Oryzias latipes: one gene and its partners. The main gene of each other region encodes a partner of the protein of the gene in region 4 in a complex. Links are inferred from orthologs where the notes say so. Each region holds a gene or a part of one and is shown on either strand. Other genes may lie near its edges. The genes, in order: rptor, mapkap1, deptor and mtor.

Evidence for each region.
Region 1: the proteins of mtor (region 4) and rptor are in contact, whole or in part, in a cryo-EM structure (PDB 6BCU), measured with the Homo sapiens proteins. The link is inferred for Oryzias latipes from reciprocal best matches to the Homo sapiens genes MTOR and RPTOR. Residues at the interface, in NP_001373429.1 of Homo sapiens: His597, Thr600, Pro632, Val644, Ser645, Gln646, Thr647, Ala648, Val649, Ala653, His686, Ala688, Gln689, Glu691, Met721, Asn722, Pro723, Ala724, Phe725, Met727, Pro728, Phe729, Arg731, Lys732, Leu734, Ile735, Leu738, Thr739, His743, Tyr771; in NP_065812.1 of Homo sapiens: Phe278, Lys282, Cys283, Ser285, Leu286, Pro288, Gln380, Ala381, Asp383, Leu384, Asp387, Glu411, Gln412, Thr414, Ala415, Val418, Trp419, Thr421, Met422, Arg427, Asn428, Glu431, Gln432, Lys973, Ile974, Asp979, Leu980, Glu981, Ser982, Lys986.
Region 2: mtor (region 4) and mapkap1 share a complex: the UniProt entries of both Homo sapiens proteins name them as parts of the mechanistic target of rapamycin complex. The link is inferred for Oryzias latipes from reciprocal best matches to the Homo sapiens genes MTOR and MAPKAP1.
Region 3: the proteins of mtor (region 4) and deptor are in contact, whole or in part, in a cryo-EM structure (PDB 7PEC), measured with the Homo sapiens proteins. The link is inferred for Oryzias latipes from reciprocal best matches to the Homo sapiens genes MTOR and DEPTOR. Residues at the interface, in NP_001373429.1 of Homo sapiens: Met304, Gly305, Phe306, His1494, Cys1498, Trp1501, Gln1525, Asp1527, Ser1528, Glu1530, Glu1531, Cys1534, Met1535, Ile1536, Arg1538, Arg1547, Gln1554, Leu1556, Leu1559, Gln1562, Cys1563, Lys1566, Arg1683, Leu1685, Asp1686, His1687, Lys1710, Ile1711, Phe1714, Gln1715; in NP_073620.2 of Homo sapiens: Arg54, His56, Leu57, Lys58, Thr59, Tyr60, Pro61, Val101, Arg116, Lys119, Asp121, Gly122, Thr123, Phe124, Lys131, Ala132, Arg135, Arg138, Lys142, Glu177, Gly178, Glu179, Glu185, Cys304, Asn305, Lys307, Gly335, Asp336, Ala337, Val338.

The regions. Positions count from the first base shown.
Region 1 is NC_019859.2:4,585,094-4,589,206, reverse strand, and holds part of rptor (regulatory-associated protein of mTOR), read left to right. Parts: intron 1-483; coding exon 484-624; intron 625-2,236; coding exon 2,237-2,357; intron 2,358-2,588; coding exon 2,589-2,657; intron 2,658-2,923; coding exon 2,924-3,064; intron 3,065-4,113. UniProt on the Homo sapiens protein: Component of the mechanistic target of rapamycin complex 1 (mTORC1), an evolutionarily conserved central nutrient sensor that stimulates anabolic reactions and macromolecule biosynthesis to promote cellular biomass generation and growth.
Region 2 is NC_019870.2:25,040,256-25,044,811, reverse strand, and holds the start of mapkap1 (target of rapamycin complex 2 subunit MAPKAP1), read right to left. Parts: upstream 2,936-4,556; 5' UTR 2,750-2,935; intron 34-2,749; 5' UTR 1-33. UniProt on the Homo sapiens protein: Component of the mechanistic target of rapamycin complex 2 (mTORC2), which transduces signals from growth factors to pathways involved in proliferation, cytoskeletal organization, lipogenesis and anabolic output.
Region 3 is NC_019874.2:10,130,870-10,134,982, forward strand, and holds part of deptor (DEP domain-containing mTOR-interacting protein), read left to right. Parts: intron 1-427; coding exon 428-498; intron 499-677; coding exon 678-782; intron 783-4,113. UniProt on the Homo sapiens protein: Negative regulator of the mTORC1 and mTORC2 complexes: inhibits the protein kinase activity of MTOR, thereby inactivating both complexes. DEPTOR inhibits mTORC1 and mTORC2 to induce autophagy.
Region 4 is NC_019865.2:1,195,894-1,200,006, reverse strand, and holds part of mtor (serine/threonine-protein kinase mTOR), read left to right. Parts: intron 1-848; coding exon 849-1,016; intron 1,017-2,119; coding exon 2,120-2,232; intron 2,233-3,124; coding exon 3,125-3,287; intron 3,288-3,732; coding exon 3,733-3,825; intron 3,826-4,113. UniProt on the Homo sapiens protein: Serine/threonine protein kinase which is a central regulator of cellular metabolism, growth and survival in response to hormones, growth factors, nutrients, energy and stress signals.

The DNA of each region.
Region 1 (4,113 bases), on a different chromosome or scaffold from region 4:
CTAATTGAGGCTTTTCTGAGAGGGAGTAAAGAAACAGTTATTGTCTTTTATGCATGTTTTTTTCCATATGTCAGAAAAATAGAAGCATAAAGATGTTTACTCTGTTTACTGTCGATGGGCGTGGCCCGCCAAACAAAGCCATCAGGTCTATCCGAGTGGCCACGCCCCCTTCTCTCTGAGAGACTCACTGAAGCAGAGACAAAAGCGTCAATGTTAAAACTCTGCACAAAGAGGCTTCAGGACTAATGATCTCTGCGTTTCACTCTCACGCTGAGCCGGAAAATTGAACTGTAATGACCTCGAATACTTTCATCCACTTGTCTCTATAGTCATTAAAGCATTTTTGTGTGATTCTGGTGAGCAAATATTTGACTTTCAAAGGCTGAAAACTGAGCTCGGACGGGAATTCATTAATGTCATTACAGCCAAGTTCTCCCTGAAGGACAGATAGACGAGCTCTTTGTCTGGTTTGTGTGACTGCAGGTGAGGTGTGCAGCTGTCTTTGCTCTGGGAACATTTGTCGGAAACTCCGGAGAGAGGACGGATCACTCCACCACCATCGACCACAACGTGGCGATGATGCTGGCGCAGCTTATCAATGATGGCAGCCCTGTGGTCCGGAAGGTCTGTGAAGCACAAAAACATCCACATGCTAAGCTCTGTGTGCTGTAATGCTGACTTTAATGCAAAAAATATACATTTAAATCATTAAAAGACAGTTTTTCTGGTGTTTATTCTCTGAGAACAAACGTAGAAATCACATTGCTGGACAAAGACAATTTTCTGACATTTTGGAAACTTCATCAGATGTGTTTGTAGGAATGGGGTGAGTGTTTACCCCTGCCTCCTGAATGCTAACTTAAAAACTAATTACCTCCCAGTTGGAGTCTTAAACTTACAGCCCTGACAGGAGTGAAGCTGCAGAGCTCTCCTCCCACTCTCTACAAATAAAAGCAACATTTCTCTGAAGGTGTAAGCAGCACTTTTAGCACTCCAAAACCATTTGTTTTGAGGAGATTTCTGAGTTAAACTAAGATACTTCCATGTGTGTAACCACAGATAATCAAAGGAAAACATCCGAGACGTGATAACGATTTATACCATGGTCCAGGGGAATACTCGATTCTGATTGGCTGCTGGGTGTGAACTAAAATGTGATAATGGACAGTGATAATGTACACCTAAATATGAAGTTCCGTTCACATAGCCCATATGTTCTGTATCGCTGTACTGGCTTCTTTGAAACAAACTTTTGCTTCATTGTCTGGATAAAAACAAGTGGTGAACCTTACCTCGAAAATTATTCTTTGGATCACTTTTCAGGATTTTTGCACCTTTACTGCTTTCCCCTGCTGGTTAGTCCTCACATCATCTGCAGCAGATTGAGAGGTTCTGTACCCATTACCATGACAATGAGTCACAGCCCATGTTTAAAAGTCTGCTTCTTGTGAAAAACTGATTAAACATTTAAAGGTCTATATCATGACAAAATTCCTTTTTATTAGCTTTTAAGTGTATTATAATGTTCAACCCCAAAGTGGTATTTTGCTCCATTCCAGCATCTCTGAGTATTCCTCTAAAATCCTGCACTCTGAGCACCAGCCCCTCCCAATCCACAAAAACAAGCGGGTCCTCACATTGTGACATCACAAAGTGAGAACAGCCCCTTCCAGGAAGATTTTGCACTGCCATCACGGCTCCCAGGCTAACACACACACTTTCTCAGGGTAGCTAGCTGTGACTGACTAAACATTTTTATTTTATATGTACATCCATCTTTGCAAAAGTTCGGATGTTTGATTTCGTGGGCTCTAGGTTGACGTCACAGGAGAAAAAGGCAGTGCCTCAGAGATCGAGTTTTTACAGTAACTGTAAAAAAATGACTCATATTTAATTAAAAAAAATGTGTTCCTTAGTGTGCCAAAGGTAATATATATTATCATATATTTATCAATATATATATATATATATATATATATATATATATATATATATGGATATGGTTTACTCTGAAAGGCTTAAGAAAAGCATGATATAAGTGTTTAAAAAAAAATCAAGATTGAAGTACTAATAATTTATGTACTATTTATTCCTTTGGTAAGTGGCCATGGTATAAGCAGGAAAAAGCCCTTTGAGAAATTTATGGACTTGACGGAAGCAACCGTCCTACATGACAGGAAGAAAATCTGTTTGGGAGTTACTGGATTCTCTGAATGTGTTTATATTTTTTTTTCAGGAGCTGGTGGTCGCGCTGAGTCACCTGGTGGTTCAGTATGAAAGCAACTTCTGCACAGTTGCCCTCCAGTTTATAGAAGAAGAGAAGAACTACTCGGTGCCGTCACCCGCTAACACTACAGGTACACACCTGGCGACACCAGCGCCTTGTCTCCCAAACTTCATAGCAGCAGCTGCTAAAACATGTCAGCAATCGCAGCTTATGCCATTTCTCCACATTGTTCTGGCAGTTTTTTTCCTCCTCCTTCTGACAAAAACATGACTTGAAAAGGACTTTCCAGTCTGAAACCGTTGAGATGGAGGTGGAGATGAAGCGTGTTTTTCCAAATATGTTTTGCGTTTATCCATCACAGGGTTTAGAATAAATTTAAGGAGGAGCTCAAGGGATCTAAAGCTGGAAATAAGCTTCTCTTCTCAGTCAGGTGTGTAGGGGTTGCAGGGGTAAGTTTATGAGGAAGTTCTACATTCATGGACCACACTTTTGTTTGAAACCTCACTGGGGTTTAATCAACCAATCCTGTTGCTTTATACACCGGGGGAGCACTGAATTCTAGGACAGTAATTACTCTTTTTCCCTAACCTATCCTGTAATTTGGAATCTATTCGTAAATCCTTTTGTGAGAAGAGAAGAGCTTTTTTTTTTTTTTTTTTTTAATGCTCTAACCTGTTGCTGTCTGCTGCTGATTAGAGCCTGGGAACCTCACGCCAGTAAGGGACAGTCCCGCCATCCCCCGCCTGCGATCTGTCAACTCCTACACCAACATCCGAGCTGTCACCACCGCCCGGAATCTGAATAAAAGTCTGCAGAACCTCAATCTCAACGAGGAAGGTGAGACCCCAGGGAAAGCTGGGAAATAGAGGATGAGAGAACATGATAAAGATCACATGTCCGAATTCCCTCGGTACTACTCAAAAGGCAATAAGCAGTAGTGCCAGACTATCCATTATGCATTAATTCAGAAGCACGCTGAATACTTTTTATTTTATTTTTATTTTTTAAGTTTTTTAAATGTCACCTATGACATTAGCCAAACTAAAACCTAGCAAATATTAACATTTGACAAAGACTCAACTGTATCTGATGATGAAAACTTCTATAATTAAATAAATAAATAAACTTCATAAATATTTTTCGTTCAACCACAACGCATAGGTCTATACTCACCAATTTAGTGAGCATCAGTGCGCACAGAGAAATCTCCGGGTCACTGGATGTTAGAATTGTTGATTCGGATTCCGACAAAATGATGAGGGCCTTATAAAGTGCTCTAACCAGGGAGTAGTGAGTGAGTTCAGACACAAACATAACTTTAAAGGAGGGCTACTGAGGATTCAGTTAGTGAAGGAAATAGTAACAATCAGAGTAAAAGATCATCAGAACATTTACTGTACAGATACAGTTGCTGTTTAAAGCCTAAGACTTTCATTATTTTTGCTACAACTTTCTTCTTAAATTAAATGTTGAAGATGATCAGAGTTTGGGGTTGATGTGGCTTTAAACACTTTTGTTCTGAGAGTCTTTCCCCCCCCCAGATTTCTGCAACTATAAATTACTTTTGCCATCTATTTTGCATTTTTACTTAACAGCAGTTATCGTTAAACCTCGTTTTCACCAGTCCGGTTTAGCTAACAACAACAATAGAGGTCATCCAGCAGCTCATTTTTCTCTGCTTGTCTTTTGGTACTTCAAGTAGATTAAGGAATGCTGTTTGAGAGAAGTTTGCCGGCGGTGAAGAGGAGTTCAGCAGCTTTTTTTGGTGCCTTCATTTGTTGTAATCACTTTCAGCCAATCAACGGGTTTCAATAGCAGCTTCGCCCCAACTATTTTTCTGTGGACCTATAAACGACCGGGGCCCAAAAATAATACGACTCACTCCA
Region 2 (4,556 bases), on a different chromosome or scaffold from region 4:
CCATCACGTCCACTGATGAAGATGTAAAAGGCCCTGTAAAAAGGAAAACAACCAGAAAAACGATCAGACAGACAACTAGAACATATTTGTTTTGTTTTGAAAAATGTTTGTGAATATAGATTTTCTTTTTGTTTAGAACTATGAAATGCGTGGGTCAATCCAACTCATTGACTGAATATGAGAACTGGACAGAGTAAGTGTGACGTCACTCACAGAAAATTGGCTTACTTCTGGTTCCAACCAATTGAAGTAACTTCAGTCACCATTTTTTGCAATGTGGACGTCGCCAGGTTGGGAGTCAGACAATGTTAGCAAGGAGTGATTGGTCTAAGACAATCAGAGTCAACATTGTTATGGCAACCACTCTCACAAATCCAGAGAGAGCTTGTTGAAAGGCCACACCCCTACCACTTAAAGCGGACTGCACAAAATCTGTTAATCAATCTTTGAACATGAGGCCACACGCTTTTATTGAGACCCATGATTGGTCAGTTTATAACATGATTAGCTTGTACTAAAGAAAAAATATTATTAGAAAAAATAGGATTATCAAGAACATGTTCAAAAAAGGTATCGGAGCAAGAATGGTTATTCTGACCAACAGAATGACTGATTAACAGCTGTTTATTTCTATATAGAAGTCTATAGGATTTTGGCTTCTTGGGGCCAGCGCGTACTTCCTGTTAGGAACACCAGGGGGAGGGGTCGGCAAGTCCAGTTCTCTTATACAGTCAATTGCCAAAATGTATTTGAACCATGTTTTTTTGGTTATTTTCAATATTGATGTTGAAGTCCCGCTCCTATCATCTTTTGATCTATTGCAAAAAGCATTCTCAGAAGTCTTTCTTTATGTTTATGCTGTTTTATGTGTAGTTTTCTATGGCATGGTTTCTGCAGAGCAGCAGGAGTTCATTAGAGATTCTCTGAGTTGACCAGTGGCACATAGCTAGCCCACCACCACTTCCCGTCACCAATCTGTTTACAGTCTCTCCAACTAGCTTAGAGCCTCTAACAACGCCAACCTAAAGGCCCGTTCACACCGGGACGAATTTCGCTGGCGATTTTCGCCGACGTTTAACGCCTCGTGACTAAACAAAGGGCACCAATGGGAGTGTGCACACCGACGCGAAAAAACGCCAGGCGTCAAAGCGTCAAAAAAAAAAACGCCTCGGGTTCGTTTTTTTTTTTTCGACGCGTCGCGTCGAAATCTATTCGACCAATGAGAATGGCGCTTTTGCACACATGTCTGGAGCTTCTGAAGTTACAGTAAAACACAACTTGGGGGCGCTCAAACACAAAACTGCCTTGCTGAGCACACATACCAGCGAAGAAGATAGACGCCAAGTAGCGTCTACACTGCTGCGAAGAAATAATGACGGACATTCTAAAATATCCCCGAACCAAGCACCAGTTGGAGCAACTGGTGCTTGAAATATTCATGTTTTCTTTGTTTGATTCTGACAAGCGCGTAAATACTTGCTCTCTTCTTCTGAGTGAAAAGCGACTTTAATAAGCGTAAAGTTGCGCAGCGCCACCTTGTGTACAGGAGTATTTCTGTTTACATTAAGCGCCATCTAATGTCAGGGAAGGAAATTGCATGTTCGCTCGGCTCATCGTCAGTGGAAATCGCCTGGGTGTGAACACAAAAAACGTGGCGAAAAACGCTGGCGAATAACGCCTGGCGAATATTCGTCCCGGTGTGTACGGGCCTTAACATGAGCACTGCGATAAAAATGGTGAGCAATATTGGCGCTGTCCAGCCATACAGTTTTGATCCAGATTCCAGCTCAGACAGGGAAAACAAAGATGTACATGGAACAAGTTGTCCATGAGTGGATGCATTAGAATGAGGAGGGGCAGGAAGCTTGTGGCTTTCTGCAGTAGCTTCAGTTACAACAAGCTTTTTCTAACAGCATTTCTTTGTCTGCTCCTGATTCACAACTACGTGAACACAGAAATACTCAGAAATACAGTTTTGAGCCTAATTTTCTTTATATATGTCCTCTATCATCAGACAAATGCCAGTGTTTTTTAGTGTTTGGGCACAACGCTAACTTTTTTTTTTTTGAAGAATCAGAAGTCGTGTCACATCTGAAAACACGAAGTTTGTTCACAGTGTTTAGTCTAAACACGGATGTTGACAGCTACAACAGGCAGATGACGGCGCTGAGCGCATGGGCAGCTGAGAAGAACACTTCACCATCAAGAAAACGGATTATGAGCACAGAAATCACTGTGATGACGTAACAGTTCCCACTGTAACAGCTGTAAATGATGTCTGACGGTCATTTCAGCTGAGGACACAGTCTTATCTGGGGAAAGTTCTCACAGGAAAAACACGCTCGTGTAAAACACACGACACAACTGAAACAAACACCACATGTCAGTAAATACAAATTTGTGTCGGAGTTTATCATTTTAAGAAGGTAGAAGTTAAACAATCGGATTAAAAAGTTCTGTGTACATTTATCAGATCATCATCATGTTTTGCGTTAGCAGCACCTTGTTTTCCTAACCAAAATGGCTCACTTAAACCAGCTGAATTACAACAAAATCCATTTCAGCTGCTCCAAAAAGTAGCAGGAGGATCTACAGACTGAAGTGATTCATACTTTATAAGCGTGTAACATGACAGGAACAGCTTACAGATCGCATTACAGTCGGTTAGCGGTGACTAAACTCAAGCTAACGATTATCTCTCCCGAGTCAGTTAGCAATAGCAGTGGTATGAACAGAAAGAAGATCCCACCTCTACGTTTTTCTGACGAGACACAGCAGAGTCCACGTCCCTCCATCTCATCCAGTCTACTTATTTGGCCGACGAGTCGTTACATCCGTGAAAAACAATTCAATGCATTAAAGTCTCAAAACAACCGAAAGCCAATGCAATCTGCTGCGCTCGTGCAACCAGGAAGACATCCTTTTGACTTCCGGTGTAATCTCTTCACAATAAAAGAGCCACCAAACGAAAAACACGCACAAGAGCAGTTCACTGACCGAGGCAGTGAAAGTAAAGGAACACTGAATTATATGCACCTTTATTCCTTACTAGTATTTCAGCGTTTACAAAATGTTGTGCACACATCCAAATGCACTTCACACTAGAAAGTGAAAAAATAAAGAAAAGTTAAAAAAGAGAGAGAGATGCCAGAGCAAGATAAAATTATGCTTTTGCAAGTTCAAAGTATCATCACATGAAATAGAAATGTGGCTGCAAAATCGTGCGATCATGAGTAAAAAGAATTATCGCAGCAAAAATTTGCAAGAACCTTTTCTATTTACATGGATATTTTTGAGATCTTCAAAGTTCTTCCATCTTTCCATTACACTTGTGGAACCTGTCAACAGATTTCCATCTCTCTCTTTAAAGACCCACTCTGGTGAAATTCTTATTTTTTGCCACAAGAACATGTTTTTGACATGTTCATGTTCTCATTTTTCTGATGATAGAGGACATCCATAATGAAAATTCAGCTTAAAATGGCATTTCTGAGTGTTTATTTATTCAAATTGTTTGGAATCAGGAGCAGTTTGAAGAAGACCACCCTCTACCACTACCCTTTTTCTTTTTATGTATCTTTGCCTGTGTGTCCTTCCATATACATAAATACTTACATTTTTTTGACTTGTAGTTGTTTTATTTTTTTATTCCTGTAGTTATTTGTGGATTTTTGTGGCCCATCACATTTAGGGGGCAGTCACTGTATTTAGGGGGGCATTGCCCCCCACTGCCTGTGCCTTTATCCAATCTTACAGTAAAAAAATTGGATCTACTGGTATTTGTCTGGATATATATATACACAAACATAAAAGTATATTTATGTAACCACATTGCAAACATTACCTAACAGAACTTTTTCGTCTGCTCCTGATTCACAACAATTTGAATAAAGAAATACAAAAAAATGCAGTTTTGAGCTAAATGTTCTCTATACATTTCCTCAATCATCAGAGAAATGTTAAAAGAACACGTTAAAACCAAACACAATTATCATTGGCTTGAACCTTTTCAGCCCCACAGTATGGTTTGCTTTGAGGATGCAAAAATGCTTTCTCCACAATCCGCTTTAATGATGAAACCACGTGGTAAAATGAGTTTTAAAGCATCCCTATTCTGCGCTGTGTTTTGTTCCTGAATTTCTTTTTCCTCATTTGTCTGCGTCCCCCTTATAAACCATAGAACAAATGAATCGGAGCCTGTAAAGTGGAAGGTTTTCTGCGAGGCGTCCACTGAAGAGCATCGTAGCAGTCGGTGGGAGGGGGCGGAGCTATCTGCGGTCAGCAGCGGATCTCGCTGTGGGCCCTCGCTCTGGGTTTAGCTACACGAAACCGGAAACACACCATGTAAATATTAACACTTCAGCTAAAGTTCAGGATCACTCTGTTGGTTTCAGGGCGGCAACATGTTTTGAAAACCAGCCAAAGCACGCGGGGAAACTCGAGGTGAGCGGTCCGTTCTGCGTATTGCCTCGCGGGGTAAGTACTAGCTCCTCAGCTTCAGCTTGTAAGCTAACTGTGCTTGCTAACAGATATTCTGCGTCTCCAAACTAATGTTG
Region 3 (4,113 bases), on a different chromosome or scaffold from region 4:
CTCAAAAGTTTACAGTCAAACCTAGGTTTCACGATTTATCATTGTTTTTTCAAATTGTGAACAAGTTTGTTTACAACTTCATGAAATATTTTAATGGTCCTGAGCTTCTTCGATTGAGCTGTTTTTGTTTTACAACGCACAGCCATTTCCCCCAAAAACATGAGAATGTTTATACTGAAAAGTCCACCATGGTTATGCTGAACCCTGTAATAGTTTTTTTGGGAAGTTGAAAAAAGAGAAGCTGGTGTTTCAGGAAACAGAGGGCCTCCAGTCTCTGTCAGCATGTGAGCGGCATCTACATTTACCATCACACTGACACGTGTGTGCATGTGACCTAATGCTTGCCCACATGTGTTTTTTTTATTTTTTTTACTGTTCTACTATTCAGATGTATAGAAAAGAAAGGCATTCTGTGTTTCTCTTACAGTCGTTAAGAGACACGTGACTCCAGAGGAGCTGCAGAAACCAGGAGGATCTTTTGCCAAGAAAACATTCACTGTAGGACACAAACACAGAATGTGCACACACACAAACTGCATCCCGTATTACACAAATGTTTGTGGTCATGAAAAGTTACTTAGACCTCATATCTTGATGTTCTCTCTTGATGTTTAGAAAAAATATTTGTTGCAAAAGGAGTTATATAAAAATAAAGAAACACTCCTGTTGTGTCTCAGATCATCGGCGATGCTGTCGGTTGGGGCTTTGTGGTGCGAGGCAGCAAACCGTGTCACATTCAAGCTGTGGATCCCAGTGGACCGGCAGCTGCTGCTGGCATGAAGGTACGGATGAAAGAAGCATCAGAAAGTCCCAGATACTTTTTCGTGCGCACCAGTTTGCTGCTCATTGCTCTTATGCGCAAAAGCAAAGTATGTGGTGCGGACGAGAAACAAACTGGTGCGCATGTAAGTCCACTCGATTTCTCAGGCACTGGCTTTCACTCAAGTTTGGAGATATGGATCTAAACTTATTAATTCTGCAAGTGTACCAATCTCCAGCTAAATGAGTCTGGAAGGATTGATTGTGGAAGTGAAATGTTTTGCAATGTTTGTGTGTTTTCGTGACGTATTTACAATATTCAGGCATGTTTTTTGAGTGTGACCTACTGCATAAAATGTTATCTATCAAAGTTTGGGCAATAGAAGACTTTGGACAAACTCTTAAGCTTACTCAAATGCTTTAGGTCGGTTTTGTTTCCTACAATCAAAGGAAAGTGAAAAAAAATAAAGATTTTTGTGACGCCCTGACTTGGTTTGTAGAGCAATAGTTAGTATTTTTGGATCTGAGAGGGTTTTTGCCAAACACAGCTAGCTTCACGGTTAAATCAGGGTGTGTGTTTGCCTGGGGGCGGAGCTGGCAGCGCAGACTCTTCTTGGAAGGGGCTGTTCTCACTTGCCTATGTTTCAATGTGAGGACCCGCTCGTTTTTGTGGATTGTGAGGGGCTGGTGCTCAGCTTTTGTACTTTGTTGTACTTTCTTTTTGATGACCTGACTTCTTTCTCATTCGCTTTAAATCTGTCAGTTTAATTTGTTTTTTTGCATCACCATAACCATTATTGAACATCATTATATAATCATATTACTACATATGGCTTTTAGGCTGTAGATGGCAAATTAACTGATCTTGTTTTATGACAAAATTGTAAAAATATTTCTTTCAACTGCTGAAGCAGAAGAGATTTGCAAGGAGAAATAAATAATTATGTGCATACCAGTTCTTTTTGCAGCCAGGTAGCAGCTGTGAGTTCACAATCAAGCTGAATAAATGTTGAGGAAAAACAAAAGGAATATAATTGTAGCCTTGCGGCCTCATAAAGATCTGTGGATAAGAACGACAGCAAGGAATCATTGTAAAGAGGGGGGAAAGTGGACTCATTAAAGCTGCTAAAACCAAGAGAAAAAAGTTTCAGATCAAAGTGGAAATCAAAGACTGGACGAATAGAATGACTGTTATCCTATTAACATCCAAAGAGATCAGCTAAGATTAAAACGTCCCGTACTTTATCCAAGACAGAAAAACAAATCTTCTGGAAAACTGTGACGGATTATCTCTGTTTGCTCCAGAAGAAAGAGGCCACAGGCTCCACAGTGGCTTTAATGATTGACTGAGGGACAGGAGGCGTAGTTGTGGAAGATGAGGAAATACAGAGATGTGGCGGAGGGTAAACACGCCGCTTCGAAAGAGGAAACGAGGAAAGAAATGATATCAGTTCTTCTCTGCTTTACATGTTTATATTTGCGATCGGTTCTGTTGAGCTGTTTTCACGGCTCTGCAGCGGGCTGTGCCTGAAACGGAGTTGTGCGCTCATCCTCGCAGCCAGCTCTGGTTTCACGTCCGCCGGGCACTTTGGCTGAGGAATCCTGCACACAGAGGGATCGTGGAGATTGTAAAGTGTTGGCTCAGAAGCCTCAGCATGGGGACAAAGGGGAAACACACACCCATAGAAATTCGATTGCAGACCATAAAAAAAAATTTAAACCACTTTCATACCCACTCAGACTTCGAAAGTCGCTTAATATGGTCTGATTTATTCTACTTTCAACACAACATGAATAATATTGTTTTTGTACAACAACATAACATAAGATATAAGAGTAATTTTGAACTAAAAACAAAGTTTATGCATAGATTTCAAATCAACATAAGCTGAAAAACATCACAGTCTTAAAGGAACAGTTTGACATTTTGGCAAACTTTGTTCAATGCTCTCTGGGAGTTTCTTCACCTCACGGTTGCCTGGCAACTCATCTACAAATCCCAGTTTTTGGCTGCAGTCCAGGAGGATAATTTCTGTGTTCCCAGCATATGAGCCTCATGTACTAATTTAAAAAACACAAAAATGTGTATACATGGACAAATACTGACCAGCCATGGCAGACATCGCTGCTTTTGTTTGTTTTCTGTCTTTGTGTAGAAGAGACATTAAAGGAAACATTTCCTTTTATTTGGTTGAACACCATCCAAAAGCAGGAACTCTAGGAAAATGAGAGTAGCAGAAGGAGAGGCTGAGGAGGAGGTGGAGGAGATGCTTCAACAGATTGAAGCAGTTAGAACTAACAGACTTTTGACAGCTTTTTTCTTGGAAGAGGAACCAGACTCTCCCCCTCTCTTTTTGCTATATTTACTAAAATGGTTCAAAGCATTCGACTCATCCATATCAAGCTTCTTATGGTACAACAAACCAGCAATAATTGGTCTAAAACATTCAAATCTGCAAAAAGCTTTGGAGGCTTAGAGTTACCTAATTTCCACAGCGTCTTTCTTGTAAATAGATTACAATACATCTTAAAATGGTTGAAAACCAATCCAGAAACCAACTCATGGATGGACTTGGAACAGGGGTTATGTGGAAAGATCAACCTGTTAGATCTACCGTTTATCAGCCAAATAACATCAGATTGACCGCGTCGACTCGCATTTATGCGGCCACTTTCAATGAAAATTCCATGCAAACGTGCATAGACCCGAATTTCCGTCTCCCACGTCTGGAACGCCCGTGATCATTTTACGTTTTAAGGCAAGTCGCGGGCTGTATGTGAAAGTTAGGCGTTCATTGATCGCGTGCTGAAAGTTCAATCGGCTGAACTTTATCATGCCTGAACGCTGCAACGCAGCACTGTGACCAATCAGGGACTCGGACTCGAGAGTGACTGGTGGGTAGCGTCTTTTTCAAAACACAGAAGTTCCAACACTTGGAGACATGATCCCGAAGGAGAAATGAATAATTGCCGTTTGTGTCCGGGTGGATTATTATGACACCAAGACGGACATTTACAGTATAGAAACCGAGCTGTGAAAACAAAAGCCCTGAAGTTGGGCTGGGCGGTCAATCGATTAATTGGAATTTCTCAATCAACTACACGTAATCACTGAACTGCTTGACTTTAGACTACTTTTATAGACATAATAAGAGTCACTTTGTATGGAACTTTATTTGTAGTGCCTTTAGAACATTAGAAAGCCGGTGTAGAGCTAAGTTTAGTCGGTCTGCTCTGCTGCTGCGCGGCGTTCACTTGCTGCTCACTTCCAATTTAATCTCGCAAAATTACGAGTTTTTTTCCGTACACCTGCTTACAGAAGAGGATTAGGGCCATGGAGAAAGAAAGAAAAAA
Region 4 (4,113 bases):
TGGCCTTCCAACAAGCTCACTCCTGATTGGCCAGAAGTGGTGGCCATAGAATTGATGACTCATAGCGACTCAGACCAATCACTACTTGCTGACGACGTCTGGCTCCAACATCTAATCTATCCCACAATTATGCAGACTAATTGACTTTTCTTCTTGTATCTCTATTTCTTTGACGTCACCCTGATGGACAAATATCTGTTATGAAGACCTCTCCAAGGCTTTATTCTTTATTTTTTTACCCTCCAATCAATCTATAAATTAACATCTTAAATGGATTTGATAGTTCTATAGTCTTTTTCCTTTATTTTTATCTCTGAAAATAGCTTCAAATCAACAAATCACTGAAGTTCTATGTAAATGTTAAAGTATTAAGACACACAGAAAGACTTCAAAGTACGAAATTCTCTTTACGTTGATTTTATTGAAGCGTTTATTTTGAGGCATTGCTGTGCGTCAATGTGATCGAACCAAGAAAAGAAGCAGCAGGTTCCCAGGGTTCAAGATCCTCAACAGCAAGACAAAAATAAACTGAAAGGATCCAATCCTGCCTTTAAGTTTGCACAGAAGCGTCTCAGCATCTTGTGAGGATCTCCTGCAGTTGTGTGGATCCAGGCTGGAAGGGTGTGGGTTGTGTTTGTGTCGGGTTGTGTTGCCGTTGGCGTTGGGTTGTGTTTTGTCTTTGTGAGGTTTGTTACCAAATGCTGGTCTGGTCCGTCTCCCGCTGTAAACGGGACAGGGGAATGAAGAAAGATCACAGGCTGTTGGCATTTAATGTTAAACTAATGTTTGTGTGATTCAACACTGAAGAACACAGCAAATGACACCAGAACTGGGCTTCTGTGCTGCAGGAGTACTGGACTCCCAACAACCCCATGCAGAACACCATCATCCTCCTGATCGAGCAGATTGTGGTGGCGCTCGGTGGAGAGTTCAAGCTCTACCTGCCTCAGCTCATCCCACACATGCTGCGCGTTTTCATGCACGACAACAGCACCGGCCGCAGCGTAACCATCAAGGTGGGTGTTTCCGCGTGCTGGAGCTCTGTGCTGCTGCTGTTGAGCTGTGTTTTCTAACGGTCCTGTGAGGTTTTCTCCAACTGTGGTATCTGTCCGTGTATAGATCTATGCACTGAGCCTTAGTAGGTCGGTTCTCCTTCTTCCTGTCACCGAGACTAACATGCCTGCTGAGCAGCTCCCTGTTGGAACTGACCCCAGCAGGGACCTGCAGCATGCACAGCAGTCCTGTGGGGGCCCTTCCTCCCGCCTGCATGTGACCCGTAACAGTCCTAAGATGCATCCATGAGGTTCAACCTCCAAAACGTCAATACAGGTCTTTGCAGATTCCGTCCAGAACAGTTTCAAATGGTCCTCCTTCACTCCATGCTCCTGCAGAACCACAGATCAGTTTACCGCCAACTTACTGAGGCTCTGACCAGAGCCAGTCACCCCCCCCCCCCCCCCACCAACCCCCAGCTTTAGTGCATCAGTAAAAACTCCATGGACCTGCAGCACTGCAGCTTTACTGGAGTTTGTGGGAATCCGTTTGGTTCTGTCTGGTCTGCAGAGTCTGTAATTGCAGTTCATGGATTCACGGGGGCGGCAGAGGGGGTGTCAGGTTCTGGTCCAAAGGAAAAGGAAAACAAACTTTTCCATTTTTTTCAAATCTTTTTCAGCTCCCACCCCCACCCCCCCCATCCTACAGCATATCCATAAATACTCGTACGCCTTCACTTCAGCTTCCTGCCGTCTCGCCATGTGCCCTTTAGACATAGGCTGCTGGGGGGGGCAGAGATGCTGGGAGGGGGGTTGTCTGCAGCATACGTCATCCTTTTAAGACCCCAGAGTGTCTGCATTCTTCACACAAGGATTTTTACTGTAGAACCAAAAAGGCCTATACTGTTCTGGAAAGTTTTCCCATGATCCTTTGCTCCTCTCATATCACTTTTACCAGATGAACCAGAGTTTATTTCAAACCATATATTGAACTTTTTACAGGATTTGGATGACTTTAGAGTCATTAACTCTTCCTTTGACTCCTCGTGGGGGGGGGGCGGGTGAGGGGTGTGTGTGTGTGTGGGGGGGGGGGGGGTTTGGAGTCTTCATCCATGTTGTTCTTGCAGCTGCTAAATGCCATCCAGCTGTTTGGTGCTAACCTGGACGACTACCTTCACCTGCTGCTGCCCCCCATTGTCAAACTATTTGATGCCCCCGACGTTCCCCTGCAGGCCCGCAAGTGAGTTCTGACTTTCATCCCATATGGAGTGACATCTCACGTTGTAGTGGCAAATGAAAATATTAAATATTTGCTTTCAAATAAAATGTTTCCGTTTGCAACACAAATGTTTTCTCATGCGTTGTGACTCATCTCGCTGTTTTCCTATCTTTGATTTTGCTCTCATAAGTTTGTTTAGCTGACAAAGCTGCCATCAAACGGAAAAGAAAAATTGAAAGCAAAGAAAAATAATTTGACAGCAAATATTTAATATTTTTATTTGCAACCTGAAGAGTTTTGTGTGCAACGCGGCGGCATAAATACAGCTCCATAGGAATGCCGTGTTCCCTCGCTGTATCGCGGTCCACCTTTCACCGTCTCGCTCTTTCACAGACTTTTATTCTGGAAAATGTTGGATCCTTTTATTATTGTTTTTTAATTTTGCATTGCGTTCTGTGTCCTGATTGGCTGTAGACTTTGTCAATCAATCCGTGTCATTGGCTAAATCTTCGATCATGATCAGATCTATGTTTCTGGACGGTTTTTTCCATGAAGGTTTGAACTTTGAGAGTCTTTAACCAAAAGAGAAAAGTGTGGAAAATGTTGAGGTCTGCCTGAGAAGAGTGTAGAAAGTGTGCAGCGTTGAGTTAAACATCTATGCTGCTTCACAGATTCATCGGTCGCGGGTCATTTTTAGGACGTATGCCTGCTAAAACGAGGGAACGCTGTAAATGAAAGTAAACTGTGACGTGAGAAGAACCAGGTGTGGATGATACGGAGCTAAAAGCAGGCGTTTCCTGGTGGTTCCTGTTCTTTCATGTAGAGAGCGGCGCTAAAGCGCCTCAGATAGCTCTGTTTGTGAGCACGTTTTCATGTGAACCGGATCGGTTTCCTGTTTTCTTGTGTGGTTCAGGGTTGCCTTGGAGACCCTCGACAGGCTGACGGAGTCCCTGGACTTCACAGACTACGCTTCTCGCATCATTCACCCCATCGTTAGGGCGCTTGACAGCACTCCTGAGTTACGGTCCACCTCCATGGACACCCTGTCCTCACTGGTTTTCCAGTTGGGAAAGAAGGTAGGCACATTGGTCCCTGGAGTGTGCTGTTATTCTGTAGGCCGGCCTCTACTCTGTTGGCCAGACATGAACCAGGTTTCCGTAACCCTCCTCAGTCTCTGCTACTTCCTGCCAGACTAATGATGTCACAGACTGTTTGCCAGCAGGGGGTGTTGTTTATGAGAGTGGATGAGGACACATGTACCCTGGGCTCTCAAGACCCTTCTCCTCTTCACTCTTTTTATTGTCCTGAGGTCTAACCTCAGAACCACCAGGCCTCCTTCCAGTCATGACTGGCAGCAAAGCCACAGGAAAGGCTTTTGATCCGTCACTCATGGAGGTTGCATGTTAGTGCCGCATGGCCCTCTATTTACTTTATGGAGAAAGGAAAAAACTGTAGCTGGGCCCACCGCATCAAGCATGTGTAGTCTTTGTTTACATGGCCTCTCTTTCTGCTTATTTTCAGTACCAGATATTTATCCCCATGGTGAACAAAGTGATGCTGAAGCACAGGATCAATCACCAGCGCTACGACATTCTCATATGCCGCATTGTGAAAGTAAGTTCTTCTGCTTTCTGGAAATGTACTCAGAGTTATTGGGACTGAATTTGGGGGATTTGTCTCCGGTTCCCGGAGGTCCAAATATCAGGACGTAAACTTCTCCTCGGGATTTGACCATGAATGTCTTAATCTAAAGAAGAGATCTTCCCTGTCAGCTTCTCCTGGAGGTATTGATGTCTGGGAAGTTCAGCAGAGATCCTGACTGCCCATCTTTAATGAAAATGTTGTTTTTAACACGTTCTTGTGGTTATGGAGGATAAAAGACTAAATTGCATTTAGTCTTTT